Lonchura striata: one gene and its partner. The protein of the gene in region 2 binds, or shares a complex with, the protein of the main gene of each other region. Links are inferred from orthologs where the notes say so. Each region holds a gene or a part of one and is shown on either strand. Other genes may lie near its edges.

Region 1 (9,584 bases), on a different chromosome or scaffold from region 2:
TGATGGGAAATTACTTTTATCAAGCACTCTGGAGGTTTCTTCCTTTCCAAACCCAGATTTGTCTTTGGTGGTGGTGAGGGGTGGGGGAGGAAGGGTGAATGCTCCACAAACAACTTCTGGTAAGTGTTGTCTCCTCATCCTGCCTTCTCTTACAAGTTATGCTTTTAGTGGAAATTTAGCTTTTAAATTTTTTTTTTAAATAATTTCAATTGAAATGATGAAATTAAGGCTTAGAGCACAGATCAACTCAGCAGTGCCCCTACCTGGGCACAGTGCAGGCAAGAGGATGGAGGCTGTGGCAGCTCAGTGGGTGCTGGAGAAGGTCCAGCTCATCCTCATCTTCACCCCACTGCAGGTCCCCAGCATAAGGCAATGATTTCCTTCCTCTCCTACTCACTGGGACCCCCAAATCCTGCCCCTCCCCTTGGCCACGCTATAACCCACCACATTCCACACAAGCAGCCTTTTGCTGGGCAGAGAAATGGCTGCAAGAGAAAGGAGCACACAGGGAGCCCTGTCCCAGCTCCAAAAAAGAGAGCAGACTCAGATCCATGGCAAACTGAGGCCCACTGAGGCCACAAGGCAGCACTGTGACATCTGAGATTGCTGCAGCTGTGCCCAATAATTCCAGAATTCCTTTGGACAAGGAACATTGGGACTCACAGCACTGCCACAGCATCACTGCAGCATTGCCCCCACACAGATAAGAGGCTGTGAGGAGATGAAAAATCTCCCAGGTGGAAAAAACCAACAGAAACTTCCAGTTTCCATCATAAAAAAAATCCTCTCTGCCCTTTTCCCCACTCCAAATCCCTGACTAACACTTGACCTGTGCTACAGAGGTTTGTCAGCAAGAGGCAGCGGGTAGATCCAGCTCCATATGAACCCACAAGCCATCCTGAGTCATACCAGCAAAACCCCAAACTTTTTGTTGATAGAGTAGAATCACCTCCCCAGCCAACACAAGCTCCTCTCCCAGCTCTTTCCCCACCAAACAGCCAGCCCAGGCTGTGCCTTATTAACCAACACAATCAAAAACCACCTTCTGTCCAAAAACCCACAGAGCCACACATCTGCAGAGGTGTCACTTTGGGGCACAAAATCACCAGTACCAGAAAGCTGCTCCCAATGGGAGCCTCTACAAAGTACAGAAGATTCCTCCAGTAACAACAACCTTTGCAAACCAACTCCAGCTCAGCCCTGGACCACAGCTCAGAGCTGGAAAACAAAGGGATCAGCCTGCAGTGAGATTCATTATCCACTAAAAGAAAAGCAGGGAAGCATCCCTCCAGGGAGGGAAATGGATTGCTGAGGCACAGCTAAATATTTATCACATCCAGCACGATATTTTCCAGGCGCCCACCGTTATGCCAGCAGAGGAGGAAGGCAGGAACAAAGTGCTGTGCTTTCTCCAGGATCGTTACAATTAATTGGATTCAAACTCCGTGGTGCTTCAACTTGAATTAAATAATGGCTCCATGGGATCAGAGCTCCCACCTCTCCAACCCTGGGAACACCAGGCTGGTGGCTGCTCTGCCTGGACACGACGGGAGCCCAGAGCCAAAGTCCTGCTTCGGCGGGTCACGACCCACACGTGTATTTTTGGCAGAGCTGCCTTTTTTTAGGGATGGCAGCTGGAAAAGTGTGAATGGCAGATGAGACAGTGCTGGATTCACAGCCTGGATTGCCTAAGAGTGGTGTGCTCCCACAGAGGGCACGGCCAGGGCACAGCAGGGACGAGGCACCACCACTTATTTACCCACCCAGAATAGACAAGCCACGAGAACAAGCACCAGTTCATCCCCAAGTCCTGGCATTCCTCACTGCTGGCTTTTCCAAGCCTCTGTGGTGAAGGAGAGCTGCCTCCCCAGAGGCACAGCCTGGCTCCAGACAGATCCTGATCCCTCTCCCCCCAAAAGCACTTCTATTCCCAAAGGACATCTCCCTGCTAAGGAAAAACACTTGTTTTTGAATTACTCAGGCATCGGTGCTGGGTGAACCAGGACAGGACAAGCAGGTCTTCTCCCTCGAGATCCCACCCATACACTCACCCTCCCTCTTTCCCCTCCCTGCAGCTGCTTTTCCCCAGAAAACTCCCAATATTTTGGGAAACAACTGTTTCCCCAGCAGCACACTCCTGCCTGTCCCTCCAGGCATCAGGGGCCACTCAGGTCACAGCCAACAGCCCCAGGGATGGGCACAGGGATTTCCATGTGCAGGGCAGGCAGAAAATACACTTTGAGGCCCAGGGAAAAGGGTTTTGTATCCCCAGAGTCTCAGACCTTGCATCCTCCACTGTGTTTCTGCACCCACACAAAGGCTGAAAATTCCCTGAGGCTTCATCCCCTCCTGCTTTAACTTCTGGGTTACAACACCCTCTCTGCACAGCGTCCATTCACCAAAAAGGTGCAGACCTTGCTGGAAAATCACAGCCAGGCCCAGCCCCATGTTGCCAGCTGCAGCCAGAGGCTGTGTCCCTTGCAAAGTTCTGCAAGGAGGACACAGGGACAGCTCCAGAGCTTTGCTCCCAATTCCTTCCTACTGTGCCACCCAGGCCATGAGACACAGCTCGAGGGAACTTGGGTGACCTGAGAAAACAGGGAGTTTTTGCATATATGAGTAAACATCAGCCTCAACAGCGCAAGATAACACAGGAGACTTCTCCCACATACAAGATCCTGTGAGATAACTTGGATCAAACAGACAGGAGCAACGGGAAGAGGAAGAAAGAAAGCCAAAATCCTCCCTAAGAGCCACAAAATCCCCAGGAGGTGTTTATCTCCCAAGCTACGTTTAGTGCAGAGCAAAGCCCCGGCACAGCACCATTCCTGTCACCAGTGTCACGGCCAGCCACGTATCCCAAAAATCTCCCGAGGCAGGAGACAACCCCATGACTAAGCCAAAGTGATGGCAGGTGAGTTTTGGAAGGCATCTGCCACAAAAAGAGCCAACCAAGAGCTTCAACACAGCAGCCTCTGTTTACAACCCTGAGCAACACAAACCAAAGGAGAACCAGCAAAGGAAACCTGAGATTGTTCACTGAAATTCCCTAAGGAAAAGCAGGGAAATTTAGCTTAAATTCAGGCTGCCTGAAAGAGAGAGAAGCAGCTGCCATGAGCAGCAGGTACACACACTCAGACCTGTGAGCATCCCTGGAAAAACCAGCTGGGAGGCAGGTGCAAGCCAAGGAGAGGCAGGATGAGAGGAGGATCACACTCAGGGATCCACCCTCGTGCTGCTGCTGCTGTCCTGATGGAAGCAAAGGAGCTCAGGTCAGACGGGGACTCTGAGCTGCCAGCAGACACCAGCTGCTTTCAGCACACACAGGGTGACACCTCCAGCACAGGACACCAGGGTTAACTGCACGAATGAACCAGTCTGCCACAACCAACAGAAACCTCCACGCACAGAGCAGCTCCAAACCTCCTCTGAGGAAAGCACCGCGCTCCCAGGCGCTCCTCCAGGCATCACCTCTTGCTGTCAGCCACGCTGCTTCCCCCAAAATCCTCCAGGCCCAGCTTGAGCTTCATCTCCCATGGGGCACAAGTGGTCCCTGGGCCAGGCTCACCTCGTCCCTCCATCCACACATCCGCCGCTCCGGCACAGGCAGCCGAGGAAAGGTCTGCGCTCCGGTGTGCCAGCCTTTAAGAAGCCTGGATGATCCCTTCCAAGGCTGGATGGCTGGAGGCATGTGCTCCTACCTGTGAGTCAGCAGCTCCGAAAATCGCTGCTGATTCACCCCCTGCTTACACAGCAAACAGGAAACTCAGGTCCACATTCCCTCCGGATAAGACACGGATCGTTTCAAACCGGGGGGAGGTGGAGGAAAGAAAAAAAGAGTCACGGGAGGCGCGTTCATCTGCTCACATGGCTCCTGACTTCGACTTTCCAGAGCATCACTCCCGCACGGGGAAAACCCCTCGAATTTTATTCCGCGGATTCGAGAGGCAGCGGCCGCACTCCGTGCGCTCCCTCCTCCGTCCGGTGCGCGGATGGAGCCGGCTCCGGGGAGCACCGGGACACCGGCAGAGCCACCTCCCTGTCCCCATCCATCCCGGCACGTACCGCCGGCCGGTGCTCTCACCTTGCGATGGGCACCTGAGTCACCGTGCTGTGCGAATAACCCCGGTGACACACGGTCACGTTCCGCGGCTGCGGACAGCGGGACAGCAGCGCGGCACTCCCGGCACACGCCGGCACCGGGTCCCGGCCGTGCCCGGACACCGGCACGAGGCGACACGAGGGGACACGAGGCGACACGAGGCGACACGAGGCGACACGAGGCGACACGAGGCGACACAGCCCACGGCCGCAGTCCCAGCCCGCTCCGTCCCTCCCGGCCCAGCCCGGCGGGGGCTCCGCTGGCCCGCGGCTCCCAGCCCGGAGTTCCCGAGCAGCGGGAGCTCAAGGCAGGCAGGCGAAACTCGCGGCAAACAAACACAGCTCGCCTGTTCTTATCGCTCTCCCCACGCCAAACGCAGCCTCGCCCCGTCTCCCCCACCCCGCATCCCCACCGAGGGTTCGCAGCCCCCGGCATCGCGGCTCCGGGACCAGCGCAGAGGAAGCCGCGGGGAGCCCACGCCCGGCGGGCTGGGCAGCAGCCCCGGCCCCGCCGCCCCTCCCGAGCCCGCTCGTACCTCTGGGCAGGGACATGGCGCTGTGCGAGCCCGGCGGGCCCGGCCCCAGCGGCGCCCGCCGGTCCCGCCCGCCGCGGCCCCGCCGGCGGCCGCCCCGCCGGGCCCGCCCCCGCGCCGCCATTGGCCAGCGCCGCGCCGGGGGGCGTGGCCAGGGCCCCGCGCGGAAACGGCTCTGCGGTTCTCGGGCGCGGCTGTGAGGGGGAAGTGAGGCGGGCGGGTGCTGCTGCCCCTCAGGAGAGGTGGCCTCGGTGTCGCCGTCGTGGCCCCGGGGACGCTGCCCCGAGAGCGGCGACACTGCCGCGGGGTTGGGGCGCCGAGCATCCCCCCCTGTGCTGCTCCTCGGCCCTCACCTCCTCTGTCAGCTGAGGGTGGTCACTCACGCCTCCCGTGGGTCCCGCGTGCCGTGGGTGCCAGCGGCGTGTCCGGCTGGGAAATGGCCGGGGAGCCAAGGGAGCGGCCGGAGCTGTGTCAGGGGGGTTTGGGCTGGATATCAGGGAAAGGAAATTCCCCCCAGAAGGTGACCAGGCACTGCCCAGCCTCCCCAGGGGATGGGCACAGCCCCAAGGCTGCCACAGCTCCAGGAGTGTTTGGACAACGTTCCCAGGCATAGGGTGGGATTTGGGGGCCTGGAGTTGGACTGGATGATCCTTGTGTGTCCCTTACAGCTCAGGATGCTCTGATTCCATGGTTAATTCCTCCCTGAGTCACTGAGGAATCAACCCCTCCCAGACGTGGCACATCCTGGGGTAAGGATGCTCCCACAGCCACCCGAGCTGGGCTGCAGGCAGAAATGCTGGATACGATGTGAGAGATGCAGCTGAAAAAGCAAAAAAAATGAGATTCCAAGTGCCATTTTCTGGCTGGAATTCTTCGTGTGATCCATAAAGACCAAAGGAGGAGTTGGAGGGGTGGCAACTGCTGGCAGCACTGGTGAGATCGCAGCTGCTCTGCCACAGCCAGCTCTCAGCTTTGCAGAGAGTTTGGGATAAATCTGAGGACTGGAAAAACCTCCTCAAAGCCAGGCAGTAGAAGGGATTCGCTGCCAGAGGGAAGGAGCTGCAGGAGTTGGGATCTGTGGCTGCACGGGTGCCTCAAGCACCAAAGGCACCAGATCCAGCTGCACACTGAGGGTGGAAGAGCTCAAATGCAACATCAATTACAGGTTTTTAGCGGGGAGAGCAATTACCTTCCCCAGAGAGGTCGCAGATTCGCCACCTTTCAAGTCTTTCAACACAGACGAGGAGGAGTCTTTCCAAAAAAGCCACTGCTCTGCAGCCCAGCCGCGGGTCAGCAGCGCTGATGCAAGAGCTGTGGTGTCAGTGCAGGGCTGGGCCAGCTGAGGGGCCCTTTCTGACCTTTATCCACACGGATCTTGGAGCCAGCAGCGGGGTTTGAACTGATCCACACAGCTCTGGGCTGAGGCAGTGCTTGGGTGTGAGTTTTGGGGGGTCTGTGGCAGAGCAGAGCATCACCAGCTCTTTTACAAATGGGGAGCTGTGGGACCGGCTCTGACAGCTGGCCCTGCTGCTGGCAGCACCTGGGGTGTCACTGCGAGCTTGGGGACATGGCCCTGCTGTCCCCAAATGTGCACCATCCCCCTCCTGCATCCCTGGAGGCTGCTACATCCAGGGCTGGATGAAGCAGTGACTGGATTTGAGTCTCTGGCTCTCAATCCCAGGGGTGAGAGGGGACACACAAGTGTCACCAAGGCTGCCAGGCCTTCCAGCACAGGAGCTCTGCAGGGCACACAGGGAAATTGGGAGCACTCAGCATCCAGATCCAACAGGGTGGGAAGGCAGGGAGCACACAGACCCCCACGAGCTGTGAGGAAGGCACCAGAAGCACCCTCGAGGTCACCTCCCAGCCATGGTAGGGCTTGGGGATCTCCTGGGGGACCTCTCCACCTCTTCTGCAGCTTCCCATGGCTGCTTCTGCCTGCCCCTCCTCGTCTGAGCCGCTGTCCCAGGGAATCAGCACAGGCACAGGATCCCCATGGAGCCCGAGTGCTCACAGAGATTTTGGCAAGTTTTGCTGCAGTTTTGGCACCCATGGAAAGGCTCTCCATGCTTTCAGGGGCTGTAGGTGAACCTTTGGCTCTGGGTCAGGGCGATCACCGAGGGCAGTAAGGTGTTACACTGTGACATGAAATAACTCACAGAAGCAGGTTGGATGTAAAAGGAAAGAAAAAATAACTCAAAAAAGTAAACTTTATTTTCTGACTCTACTATATATACATTAGCAAAAATGGTAGTGGATTGGAGGGTGAAACTGCCACCTCTCCAGCTGCACTGGTCAAGCTAACAGTCTATAAATTCTCTCCACCCACAAAGAAGAATGTAAAACAGTTATTATTTACATGAACATGTGTGAGAAAACTCAGTAGAAATATGTAAATATTAGAAGGCATAGGAACTTTTAGAAGAACTTTAAAACTCTCCAAAGAACAGGGTGACAGTAAGGAGTTGCTCACCCATGTCTGGGCAAAACCTGCTTCTCCTTCCTCCTCTCTCCTAAAACTTCAGCCCTGCTGTGTCCTGAGCATCCCTGTGTGCTGGAGGGCATCAGCCCTCCCTGACAGCTCTGGGATCATGCCAGTTATCCCTCCCCTTCCTCCCTGCCACACGCCAGCCGTGCTGGGCCTGGCTGCTGCAGGCTTTGCATTCCCTGCGCTCCCCTGCTGTTTGTGCCTCCCTGCAGCAGCACACAGCTGCCAGGGAGGGGATGGGGTGAAGGACAACACCTCCTCACCAACATTCATGGAGAAGGAAGGGAATTTACCCCTCTGCCCAGCAGACACCCAGTCCTTGGGGCCAGGCTCGATGGGAGCGGGGAAAGAGCAGGAGACCAGAGCAGAAAACCAGTGCGGGGCCAGTAAAGGACTGGTAAAAAACAGTGCAGGACCAGTACAGAGCCACTACAGAACCGATGTGGGGTCAGTGTGGGACCAGTACAGAACCCGTACGGGACCAGCACAGAACCAGTGCAGAATTAGTGTGGGACTGGTACAGAACAGTACAGAACCCATGTGGGACCAGCACGGAACCAGTGCAGAATTAGCGTGGGACCAGTACAAAACCAGTGTGCAATTAGTGCAGGACCAGAACGGGACCAGTACAGAACCAGTACAGAACTCGTGCAGGACCAGTATGGGACCAGCACAGAACCAGTGTGGAATTAGTGTGGAATCAGTGTGGGACCGGTACAGAACTGGTACAGAAACCGTGTGGGACCAGTACAGAACCAGTGTGGAATTAGTGCAGGACCAGAACGGGACCAGTACAGAACTAGTACAGAACCTGTGCAGGACCAGTGCCGAACCAGCACAGAACCAGTATGGGACCAGCACAGAACCAGTGTGGAATTAGTGCAGGACCAGAACGGGACCGGTACAGAATCAGTACAGAACTCGTGTGGGACCAGTATGGGACCAGCACAGAACCAGTGTGGAATTAGTGTGGAATCAGTGCGGGACCGGTACAGAACCAGTGTGGAATTAGTGCAGGACCAGAACGGGACCGGTACAGAGCTAGTACAGAACCTGTGCAGGACCAGTGCCGACCCAGCACAGAACCAGTATGGGACCAGCACAGAACCAGTGCGGAATTAGTGTGGGACCAGTACAGAACCAGTGCAGAATTAGTGTGAGACCAGTGTGGGACCGGTACAGAACCAGTACAGTTACCTGTGCGGGACCAGTGCCGAACCAGCACGGAACCAGTGCGGAATTAGTGCGGGACCAGCGCCGAACCAGCACAGTACCAGTGACAAATCTGCACAGAACCAGTGCGGAATTAGCACGGGACCAGTACCGAACCCGCGCCGTTCCGGCGGCCGCTGGTGGCGGCGCCGCCCGCGCGGGGGCGCCTGGGCTGCCTGCGGTCCCCACGGCGGCGTTGGCGTTGCCCCTTTAAGGGCCGCGCGGCCGTACCAAAACAAAAGCGCGGCGCGGCCATTGGCTGCGGGGCGGGCACGTGCCGCACAGCTGGGGCTTCCTGCGGCCGCGGCCGCGCCGGGCCCGACCGCGCCTCGGCACCGGCACCGGCACCGCCATGGCGCACTCCGCGCCGCTCGGCCTCCTGGAGCAGGGCTGCCCCATCCAGGTGGAGCACGATCGCAAGCGGCGGCAGTTCACCGTGCGGCTCAACGGTAAGGGGCGGCGCTCGGGGCTCCCGGGACGTTACCGCTGCCCTCCGCCCTCCGCCCCGGTCCGGCCGCGCTGGCCGCTCCGGATCCCCGTTCCTCTTCAGCTCTCGCTGTTCCCCCCCTTCGCCCCACCCCACGTTGTCTCTCCCCCCTTTCCCCTCCCTGTTCTTCCTCCCCGTTGCTCTCCCCTTTTTTCTTCTTCTTCCTGCCCCTTTTTCCCGTTCTCACCGATTTCCCCCGTTTCTCCCGGTTCCCCCTCCTGCCGTGCCGCTGAGTCCCGCTGCATTTCCCCCGTGCTCTCCGCCCTGCCGCGGTGTGACCCCCCGCCCCAGCCCTTCCTGCACCCCAAAACCTTCTCGCAGGGGATGCGGCATCGCTGGGCTCCCTCGCTTGGGGTGTGTGTGCAGCCCGGTGGGGACACGGGCAGCTTGGGGGGCACTGCCCCGGTCCCCCCGGGAGCAGGTGCCTGCGGGGGATGTGGGGGTGCTGGGAACCGGGGCCCCTCTGGGGATGTTCCTTCAGGGAAACCCCAGCACGGTGGGTGCCGCGGTTCTGTAGGACCAACGACACGGATCCAAGCTGTGACAGCCACCTGTGGAGCTCTGGTGACACAGTGACCCCCAAAAAGTCCGTCACATATTGGGTGGAGTGAACAAAGAAAAAAAAAAAGTAGGTGCCACTAAAATTTCTCTGTGGTGCACTGATTCTTTCCCAGCCTTCATCTTAATGGTTAATTACAGATAGTCAACGATCCCGGCATCTCTTTCCCATCCATTTGTCATACTGAGAACTACTCTGGGTAAA
Region 2 (10,516 bases):
GGCTAGCAATTTGCAGAATAAGGCCCCTGGTTCCAGTCTCTCCCATTCATTTCAGTGGGAGCCAAATTACGGGTTTATCTAATAACTCATATAAATCCCTCACAAAAATGCCAAATAACTTCCAGAGTAGTAGATGTGCAATTTTCTTCACTGAGTGGACACAATTATCACTCAGGGCAAAAGGACTGATCCTGCTACAGGATCCTACACTCTGCCAAATGCATCATAAATATCATGCCGACAGCTTCATTTTCTATAAAACAATTCACTAGGAACTCCTGTTTCCTACTTTAAACCTAAAACCACTATAGTGGTCGTACTAGATGTGGCATCTTAATCTTTGTTTTGCTGCTATTTAATCACTCAGGCCATGTTCCTATGTTTTACTTAATCAGCACAATTCCTGTCCAGTTTCACATCTGATATTCTAACCAAGACCTTGTAGCATATATATTTTCTTCCTAGCAGACCTGTTTACGTGTATCTTTTCACATACACACACAAAGCTGCATCTCTTCCCACAAAGCTGCATTTTATTGCCTGTCTTAAAAAAAAGTTAATGCCTTGCAGAGGTATTTCTCAGATTTCAAAGAGTTTCAAAGCAATCTGTCTAAGCAACACTCTTCCAAGTATTTGTAAGTTTTTATAAGCACATATTCTAGTATGCTATGCTGGAACACAAATTGCTTTGTTTCACATGTTAGAACTTGTTAACCCCTTGGCTAATATAAAACCTTCACAATATTTGCTGGTTGTGATTGGCTTGTTTAATAAAATTACACATAGATACAACATATTTGCAGAATGATACTACAGCTCTATTGACTTGGCTTGCTCCCTTGGACTTGGCTAGCATGAAATGCCTCTGAGCAAGCTTTTCACAACCCTCCTATGTTTTCCCTCTAATCAGTTGTTATGGATTATTGGCAGCAGTTAACAGAACTATAAGACATGCAGTCATGGAGATAAAAGGACACTTCCTTCCAAATAAACTAGAAAGAGTAGAATCTCAGATTATCCCAAGCTGGAAGGGACCCACAAAGTTCATCAAATCCAACTCTCAGCCCCACACAGGACCATCCCCAAGAGTGCCTGAGAGCACTGTCCAAATGCACAGAATAATTAGTTTTCTGGACTAAGTGCATCCAAGTACCTACTAAACAGACACACAAGAGTTACAGCAAGTTATTTTTGTATTGATATCAGAAGAGTCATTAATTCACCATGACTTCAGTGCAGTTCAGTCACAGACATTCATTATTGTCATCACTTCAGATGAAGATGCTACATATGTATACATGTGAGAGCCATTAGGGTCAGAAGACCTTTTGGCCACCAAGTTGGCCTCTGGTGCAGCACAGGCTACTATACTTCAGCAAAATGCTCCTGTGTTGAGCTCAACAATTGGACAAAAACAATTGTCTAAAAAGAGATCTCAGTGAGAAGACAGATGAAAAGGATACTCCATCTTCACTCCTTTCATTTGTAGTCTGTGCCAAGTGTTACTCATCCTCACTCCTGATAATTTGTGCTTTTCTTTCCATTCTAATTTTTCTGGCTACAGATTTGAAGCACTAGTTCTTGCAATAACTTTTTGCACTAGATGAAACTATCCCATCATTTTCTCCATATGAAAATGCAATTTTTGTATGTAGGCTCTTACTTTTAAATTCTCTAAGGCTGTTGACAGAAAAGTTCTGCCAAAGCTTGTCAGACTTATTTAAGGCATCACCACTTGCCTCTCCGCTGCTTTTCCAGAAAACTTTCAAGAGAAAGTGCCCATACCAAGCTGTTCCCATAACCTGTCTTGTCTAGTTTAAGTTGCAAATTATAACCAGTCCGAAGAAAAATAAACAAATTCATGATGGAAGGCACTTCTGTCAACTCATCCTGATGGATGATATTCATCACCTCCTCTTGACACCCCCATTCTTACTAACTTTCCGCTCTGTGTTTTGCAGATTCCCTTGGGCTGCTTTTACAGCTCATTGACACTCTTTTAAACAGAACAGAACCACATATGCCTAACAACAATTTTCCCAGTGCTATATATCAAGATAAAGCACACCTGGTTGTTACAAATTACTTGATCCTGATTTGCATATACCAAGCAATTAACCTAATTTGCCTAACTGCACCATGATATGGACTCTTACTGAGTTGCAAGTCTTCATTAATCCCTAAATAAACCCTTACATTATTATAAGCTCTTTCTGGCATATGGTTTCCTTTTCCTACTGTAAAGCCTGTGTTCCTTGCTACTCCAAGCTTAAGCTTGTGTTGCACTGTCTTAAAAAAATTATTTTTGTTGAATGATCCAACTGTGTCAAGCAATACACAGGATTTTCCTTCTTCCATCCTTTCCCATTCCATTAAGTTTTATGCCATCCCAAGACATATTAATATTGGTTTTAAATTTACTTTCAAAAAATGCTTTAAGTACATAACAACAGGTCTAGCACACATACAGGTGTAACTCCTTCAGAAACACACATGTACAACAAAGGTATTTCACTAACCCTGACTGAGACCTGCCAGCCAGGTTATTTTTAAGGAGCACACTACTGATACTGCATCGCACAAATTTTACTTTTCATGTATCTTTTGATATTAACGATTAGTAGAAATAAAAGAGAACAGCACAAACTGACACTGGACAGAATGTATAAATCTTCCATTGTCCTAGAAAAATCTTGAGATCCTTTTACATTATTTTAACGAGCAACACGCTTAATCATGATCAAACATGCTTATTACATCACTAAGCATGACACAATCATGGCAGCTCGGCTGCTGCCTCAGTGGATTTACTTTAGTGTCTGATTATTTACTAAGTCTATTATGCCTAGCACTGCTCTGCTGTCCTCCAGCTTGTAACTGTCTTCCTACAATAGTCTGAGGAGACTGTACAGACATTACATACAGTCATGATGGAACAACAGTCCACTAACTCTGCTGTCCATCACTACACTGGGCTGTGCTCACTGCTCCATCGGTGGTGCTGACCAGCAGGCAGACTGGAGCTCTGTGAGGACCACATACACCACATCTCTGCTGAAACTATACGAAGCTGAGGGGTCAAAAGGACTTTTAGGCAAATTTAAAAAGCTTCGGAAAAAAACCAAACAACAAACCAACCTTAGCTGCTAAAGGTGCACTTAGCTAATTCTGCCTTTTTCCCCAGGACTGCCAAGGACCCATCTGCCTTTCCAGGTCACAAGACACCCCAAGGGAAGGTGACTGGCAGAACAGTTAGGGTTAAAACTACCTTGTTGCAAAACAAGCTATGACTATGTGGCTATGACTAACTAGGAGCTAGTGGAGCCCTAGATCAAAATCTTCATCAGGCAGGGAAGAGACAACTCTAAGCCTGTAGTGAACATAGAGATGTGAACCACAGAGCAGACATCAAGAGGACAAAATGGAATCAGGTAATGACAGGGACGCTACCTCTTCCTATCAGCAACATGCTGGTGGTATCAAGGGGAAATTAGTAGCTCCACAGGCACAGCAAGCTCTCCTCAGGTAGAGGAGAACTGCAAAACAAGAAAAGTGGGCAACAACAATGAAGGGTTAAACAACAGTGCTTTGAATTAGCCCCCTCCTCTAGGACTGCTAGTTATGTCTATACTGTAACATCGCCGCTTATGGAGTTTTGTAATTAAACAAACAAAAATCCCAAGGCAGTTTGCCTGCATTACCTAGAGGATAGAAAACACTAGAAAATAATTTCTGTGGTTACCACAGCAGACAATGAATGAAAAGTAAACTTTTACCTCTTTTTCTATTTTGAGCAGCTTCTTTACTGCCACCTCCTTGTCCTGAGAAATCCATCGGGCTCGGTAGACACTCCCAAAACTTCCTCCACCGCAGTTCTCAAAAAACTGCAAGTCATCAAATTTAATTTGCACAAATGAAGCACTGGTAGACGACATCTCATAATGACAAAATATACCACAGCAAAACCTGTGAAGAGAAAAGTTTTTATTAATGCACATGCTCCAAAGATTTATGGACTTTCTTACCCATGCTCAGTCACCACAAAATCATAATCACAAGCACACTACAGTAAAATCCACAGGCCACAGGAAGAAAAGAGCCTGAGAACGCGCATTTCACAGGGTGTGCTACAGTTTGCATAATCTATTAGGAGGAGTTGGGGGACAGAAACAACTAAGAGTATTCCTCAGAGCAAGCCTGGCGTTTCCGGAACACCTTGGAAGCAGCTCTGCAGAAGGCAGGCCCGTGGCTGCCTTCCCCGTGGACAGCCCGGCAGCCGCAGTCGCCCGGGCTGCCGCCCGCTCAGGCACGCCGGGCACGCCGGCCTGTCGGCCCCGCGCGGGGCACGGGGCACACCGCACCCGGGCTCACCGCACCCGGGCACACCGCACCCGGGCTCACGGGCTCACCGCACCCGGGCTCACGGGCTCACCGCACCCGGGCTCACCGGCACACCGCACCCGGGCTCACAGCCACACGGCACCTGGGCTCACGGCCACACCGCACCCGGGCTCACGGGCACACCGCACCCGGGCTCACGGGCACACCGCACCCGGGCTCACCGGCACACCGCACCCGGGCTCACGGGCTCACCGCACCCGGGCTCACGGCCACACCGCACCCGGGCTCACGGGCTCACCGCACCCGGGCTCACCGGCACACCGCACCCGGGCTCACCGGCACACCGCACCTGGGCTCACGGCCACACCGCACCCGGGCTCACGGGCACACCGCACCCGGGCTCACCGCACCCGGGCTCACGGCCACACCGCACCCGGGCTCACGGCCACACCGCACCCGGGCTCACGGGCACACCGCACCCGGGCTCACGGCCACACCGCACCCGGGCTCACGGGCACACCGCACCCGGGCTCACCGCACCCGGGCTCACGGCCACACCGCACCCGGGCTCACGGCCACACCGCACCCGGGCTCACCGCACCCGGGCTCACGGCCACACCGCACCCGGGCTCACGGGCACACCGCACCCGGGCTCACGGCCACACCGCACCCGGGCTCACCGCACCCGGGCTCACGGGCACACCGCACCCGGGCTCACCGCACCCGGGCTCACCGCACCCGGGCTCACGGCCACACCGCACCCGGGCTCACCGCACCCGGGCTCACGGGCACACCGCACCCGGGCTCACGGCCACACCGCACCCGGGCTCACCGCACCCGGGCTCACGGGCACACCGCACCCGGGCTCACGGCCACACCGCACCCGGGCTCACCGCACCCGGGCTCACGGGCTCACCGCACCCGGGCTCACGGGCTCACCGCACCCGGGCTCACCGCACCCGGGCTCACAGGCTCACCGCACCCGGGCTCACGGCCACACCGCACCCGGGCTCACAGCCACACGGCACCCGGGCTGACGGGCACACCGCACCCGGGCTCACAGCCACACCGCACCCGGGCTCACGGGCTCACCGCACCCGGGCTCACGGGCTCACCGCACCCGGGCGGGCAGCGGCACCCGGGCACACACCGCGCCCCAACGGCGCTCCGGGCGAGGTCCGAGAGCTTGATGCAAGGATGTGGAAAAACGTGGCCGTGGTAAATCTCTCTTCCCGAGTGACTCAGTTCTGTTTGCACGTTGTAACAAAGCGCAAGTACAGGGTAATTCATCTGGGTTACAATATGTGAAATTCTGCAGCCTGTGCCAAGACTGGTGTCGGCAGTTTCAAGAGATGATCCCAAATCTGCTGACAGGGGAACAGAACGTCCTTCCCCGAGATTTCACGGTGATAAAGCTTATGGCTGTAGCGAATTTCAAGAAACATTATCACCTAAATGCATGAACAATGACTAATTTTAGGTTTCTTTTTTTAATGATACAAAATCAGAAAGCTCAGGTCTTCAGTGGGACTGCAGGACACAGCATACTCCAGAACCACCTGCAAGTCTGCTGCAGGTTCACTTCAGATGCACCAGCCTAGACAAAGTAGTTTTAATTACCAGAAAACGTTACTATACTTGTAATTAATGACAGCAAACCTATCAGCATAAAATGAGAGATTAGTTTTAATAAAACAAGCAAAAAAAGAGCCAGAGATTTTGGGTTGATGGTGAAAACTACACATCCAATTTCACTGGTAAATTACAGTACCAAAATAGACTACGTCTTTGGGGAACTTCCATTCCATAGGGATTTTTGAGATAAAAGACATGTTATGTGTTGTCCGAAACACACCTGTGTAGTGCTGACTGCCAGAATCTCTTTATGCCAGTCCCTTCTGTGACATACACAAAGGCATTATTTGCCCCCTGTCTCTCCTGATTGTAAAACTAAGATAAAATTTTGAGATATCATTTGATCAGGAATTTCTGGCACTATTTGACTGCCGCTATTCTCCAAATGAGAGATTATGATATCAACACTTTTCTACACACGTTACAGAGCCTTCTCTGAAACTGCCTGCTTCATTTAATACCTCTTGACCACCCATAAGGAAAAATAAAAACACTGACCAGACGATGACAACTTTACTATGTATACTGAAAGGTTTTTAGCAAGGAGCAGACTTCAAGCCTTTCACTGACAGCCAGCACGCAGGGCTCCCGAAGAGGGAACATGAATGCTCTCTTCCCAGAGCTGCAAGTCAGAGCAGGAGTTACCACTAGGATATGAAATAAAGTCCATTCTTCCAATGCTCTTCAGCCTCTTTCCTAATACAAGTGCCTGAACTGTCCTGCTGACCTTCTGTTCTTGTTTTAACCTTGTTGCTGTTGTAACTTCCTGCATCCCATAGTCATCTTTTGCACAGCCTGCACACATTTTCTTAGAGAAAGCTCAAAGGAAATTGGTCAATCCTACAAACCAAGAGATGTTTTAATGTTTTGCTCCTTGCCATTGCTGCTTAATTAGCAGATCTTCAGAAACAAATGTTCATTTGCATTGTTTACTCCAGCAGTTACTCCAAGTTCATGCTCTGCACATGGTGTCTTAAGCATATGGGACACTTTACAGACAAATAAAACAGACTGACTTCCTAACTCAAAAACCTCACAATTTAAGGCCACAGCCCTGCACATATTTATGCACACAGGTAATCACACTCGAGTGAATTATTTCCTTACTGACAACAGAATTGGCTAGGAGTGATGTTACTCACAGGCAAAAGCATACGCACCAACTAGACCATAAATTTAACAGGAAGGTGGGAATAGCTGAAAACAGATCATTGCATTTGGGATGGCAGAAGGAAAAGGAAACCATGTGAAAAGAAAAACATATCCCAGGAAGGAAATTTCTGGCATTCACTATCTGAATTCAATAGCTTTGAAGAGCTGTCAAATTATTTAACATTACTGTTCACCCAGAGCCACCAAATTAACCATCCAAACTAGTAAATTATTTGATTTCTGAAAATTACACTAGCAGAGAATAGCATGCACACCAGACACTTCACAAATACAAATGAGTACTTTTCTGATAGGTCCTCCTTACTGCTTCAAACTTTATCTCAATTTTCATAGAATCACAATGCAGTGTCTGGCACACAAGCACTTGCAGAAGCTACCGTTCATTCTTTAAACACCTCAGTTTCAAATTTACCTACAGCAGGCAACCAGCTGCAGATCACAGGATCACACAAGGAATCAGGTGGCAAGACCTCTGAGATACTGAGTCCAATCTATGACCAAATGCTACCTTGTCAACTAGACCATGGCACTGAGTGCCACATCCAGTCTTTCCTTGAACACCTCCAGGGACAGTGACTCCACCACTTCCCTGGGCAGTCCATTCCAATGTTTAATCACCCTTTCTGTGAAGAAATTTCTCCTCATGTCCAGCCTAAACATCCCCTGATACATCTTAAGACCATGTCCTCTAGTCCTGTCACTGTTTGTCAGCGAGAAGGGGTTCATCCCTGCCTGACCACAACCTCTTTTTAGGTAGTTGTAGAGATGCTACATGGCATACAATAAGTTAATGTTATTTAAAGAATTATTCATTGGTTGGCATCCAGATGCTGGATGTTGGTTGTTCCAGATGTTTTTTTTTTCCAGAGAAAGCAGAGGAGATTTAGAAGAGACACTCTTTAGTAAGAGATCTGTAATTAAAACCAGCCTGCATTAGTTTTCTTTTACTAGATGAAACAACAGACCTGTTTAAACATTACTCCATGTTTTTGAATTCAAGATAGGTGATCCTCAATTAGAAAGATCAGTCTGTGTTATGTTTGAGAAAACAACTGTTTAGATTAAAAATTGCAAGTGACAAATCCACACACACTTATTAACTTGTCATCCTGTTTTAAAAATATTTAACAATCTGAGTTTGTAACACTAGTTAAGAGAAAAAAAACAAAACATCACGCATTTCATTAAACTATAGTCTTCCACTTGCATCTGAACCAAGCACAGCATTCCAACAGTGTGTGGCACTTCTTTGCATCTTACACTTCTGCAGACAGGAGAGCAGCCCGCTGTAACACCCCCTCCAGGCCTGGACCTTACAGCAACTCCCCTGCACACAGCTCAGGGGGGGTTGGCACCCGCACCCTCCTTCACCACTCACGATTTCAGGTGTTGAAGTACCATCACTGTGTAGCAGGGAAACGCTGCATTGACTGTTTCTTGCTCTCAGTTAAATGAAAACATGACAAATCGGAAATAGTGAATGACAGGTATTTCAGGAAATAATTAAACTGCTGGTTATTTCAGTTATTCCTATGGGATATTCCTGGGGGTAAAAGAATTTTTTTCCTTTTCCTGTTTTATTTCTAATAGTTAGCATGAGCTTGTAATCTTGCAGCAACATCTGTATCTTCTTCTGGCTCTTTGTTTTCTACATAGTAATTTATATTTGAGTATGCTGTTGGAAGCTGCTCATTTCATACCAAAAAGTAAGAGATCTGAATTGCATTTGACAGTGTTTCACATTTGAAATTATAATTTAACAATAGTATACAACATGTCAGGACTATTACACAGAGTCACTCTGCAGCAAGTGAAGTCACATTATGTCACCACAAGCTCAGTTCAGCACATCAGTGATGCAGGTGTAGGAAACCATCCACCATCACTGGCTTCTTGCGATTACAGCACTTAAGGGGATTAAGCCATGTGAAGGTCCTGGCCCTGCAAAGGTCCCACGTCTGCGGTTTCCTCTAGAGGCTCCCAAGGCGAGGGAATCCCCCAGGCAAGCAGGACACTGCTGCAGGCTGCCCTGCATCTTAGCACAGCAACACTGGAAGAACTCAACACATCCCAGCTCCCTACAAACTGCAATGTAGGGGAAGTGCTGCCATGCACAACACTCTGCTTTATTCCACATAGAAAACAGAAGTCCCTTCTGTTTGTCATTCAGCTACTGCTCCCAGAGTACAGAGAGCTTCCACTGAGGGACATAAAGACAGAAGGGAGGAAATAATTTACAGACTGCACAGTAACTGCAACTCATATTTTGTTTAGTGCGTGGCTGCGAAACCGAAAATTGCATCTCTCATCTTGCACGTGCACCTGACGCTACTCAAGTATTCAATTACTGCAGGAACAGCCTTTGTAATTTATTACGGGAAACAAACATGCAACTCCCTGCCCCTCACTTTACTGTGTGGTTCCACAAAGTAGGATTCAGTGCTTCTTGCAGGAAGGCACACTGCCAACATATTGCCAATAAAGTAGTAGCACACCACACTTGTGCTATCTTAAAATACACAGCTGAATGTGCCAAGTTTCCTTATTTGGCAAAACAGCCCATTTGCTTTCAGGATCTTTGACCATCCATTTTTAGTCCCAAATCATCCTTTGTATCCAACAAGGCCTGCAGTCCTTGAGCATACCAACCTGGATTTTTCAGCAGTATATTTATACAGAGTTTAAAAATATATATATTAAAAAAAAAAAAAAAATTTCCAATTAAAAACCCACCCTTAAACACCAAAACATGATTAACCACTGTCTTGACCAAACAGAAAACAGAAAATGAGTTAGTGACATAGAGCTGCAAAAGATACTGCAGAAAAAAAATTATAAATTAAAAAACTCCCTTAATCATATCATGAACTGTTGATCGATAAGATGAAAACAAACTCCAAGCACAAATCCAAATTAAATATATCCTAATCCTCTAATCTCCCAATGACTTAAAATAAAGCCAACAACCCCTACAACTCCTAAACTTCCTTAATCAGGCTGAGTAGCAGTCCCGCAGATAGTGAGACTGGAGGCGTAGCTCTGCCTACCTTAGTTACAGACTCAATAACATTTGAGCCTGTACTTTGTCACAACCTAAGAATTCTGCATAACTTCCATTAATAACATTTCTAATTTTATTTTAATTTATATAACCATTGCTACAGAAAAAGAGCTCAACTCCAGCTAAACAATTTGAGTACAGTTGAGGAAAAGAATAATTTTAAAGCCAAATTGTGTCAATGGCAGAGACTGAAGACTTTAAAGATTTCACATTAATTAAAAAACATTTTATCTCAGAAAACCCTAAACTGGTCACTTCACCTGTAAATGATGCCTGCCAATAGTATACTCGCAAGAAAGACAAGGC

The links.
Region 1: MAP3K20 (region 2) and MAP2K3 share a complex: the UniProt entries of both Homo sapiens proteins name them as parts of the signaling complex. The link is inferred for Lonchura striata from reciprocal best matches to the Homo sapiens genes MAP3K20 and MAP2K3.

What each region holds. Positions count from the first base shown.
Region 1 is NC_134618.1:15,092,465-15,102,048, forward strand, and holds the start of MAP2K3 (dual specificity mitogen-activated protein kinase kinase 3), read right to left. Parts: upstream 4,694-9,584; 5' UTR 4,654-4,693; coding exon 4,638-4,653; intron 1-4,637. Other genes in the region: protein NATD1, read left to right, coding at 8,687-8,783. UniProt on the Homo sapiens protein: Dual specificity kinase. Is activated by cytokines and environmental stress in vivo. Catalyzes the concomitant phosphorylation of a threonine and a tyrosine residue in the MAP kinase p38.
Region 2 is NC_134610.1:20,931,137-20,941,652, reverse strand, and holds the start of MAP3K20 (mitogen-activated protein kinase kinase kinase 20), read right to left. Parts: upstream 3,966-10,516; 5' UTR 3,936-3,965; coding exon 3,777-3,935; intron 1-3,776. UniProt on the Homo sapiens protein: Stress-activated component of a protein kinase signal transduction cascade that promotes programmed cell death in response to various stress, such as ribosomal stress, osmotic shock and ionizing radiation.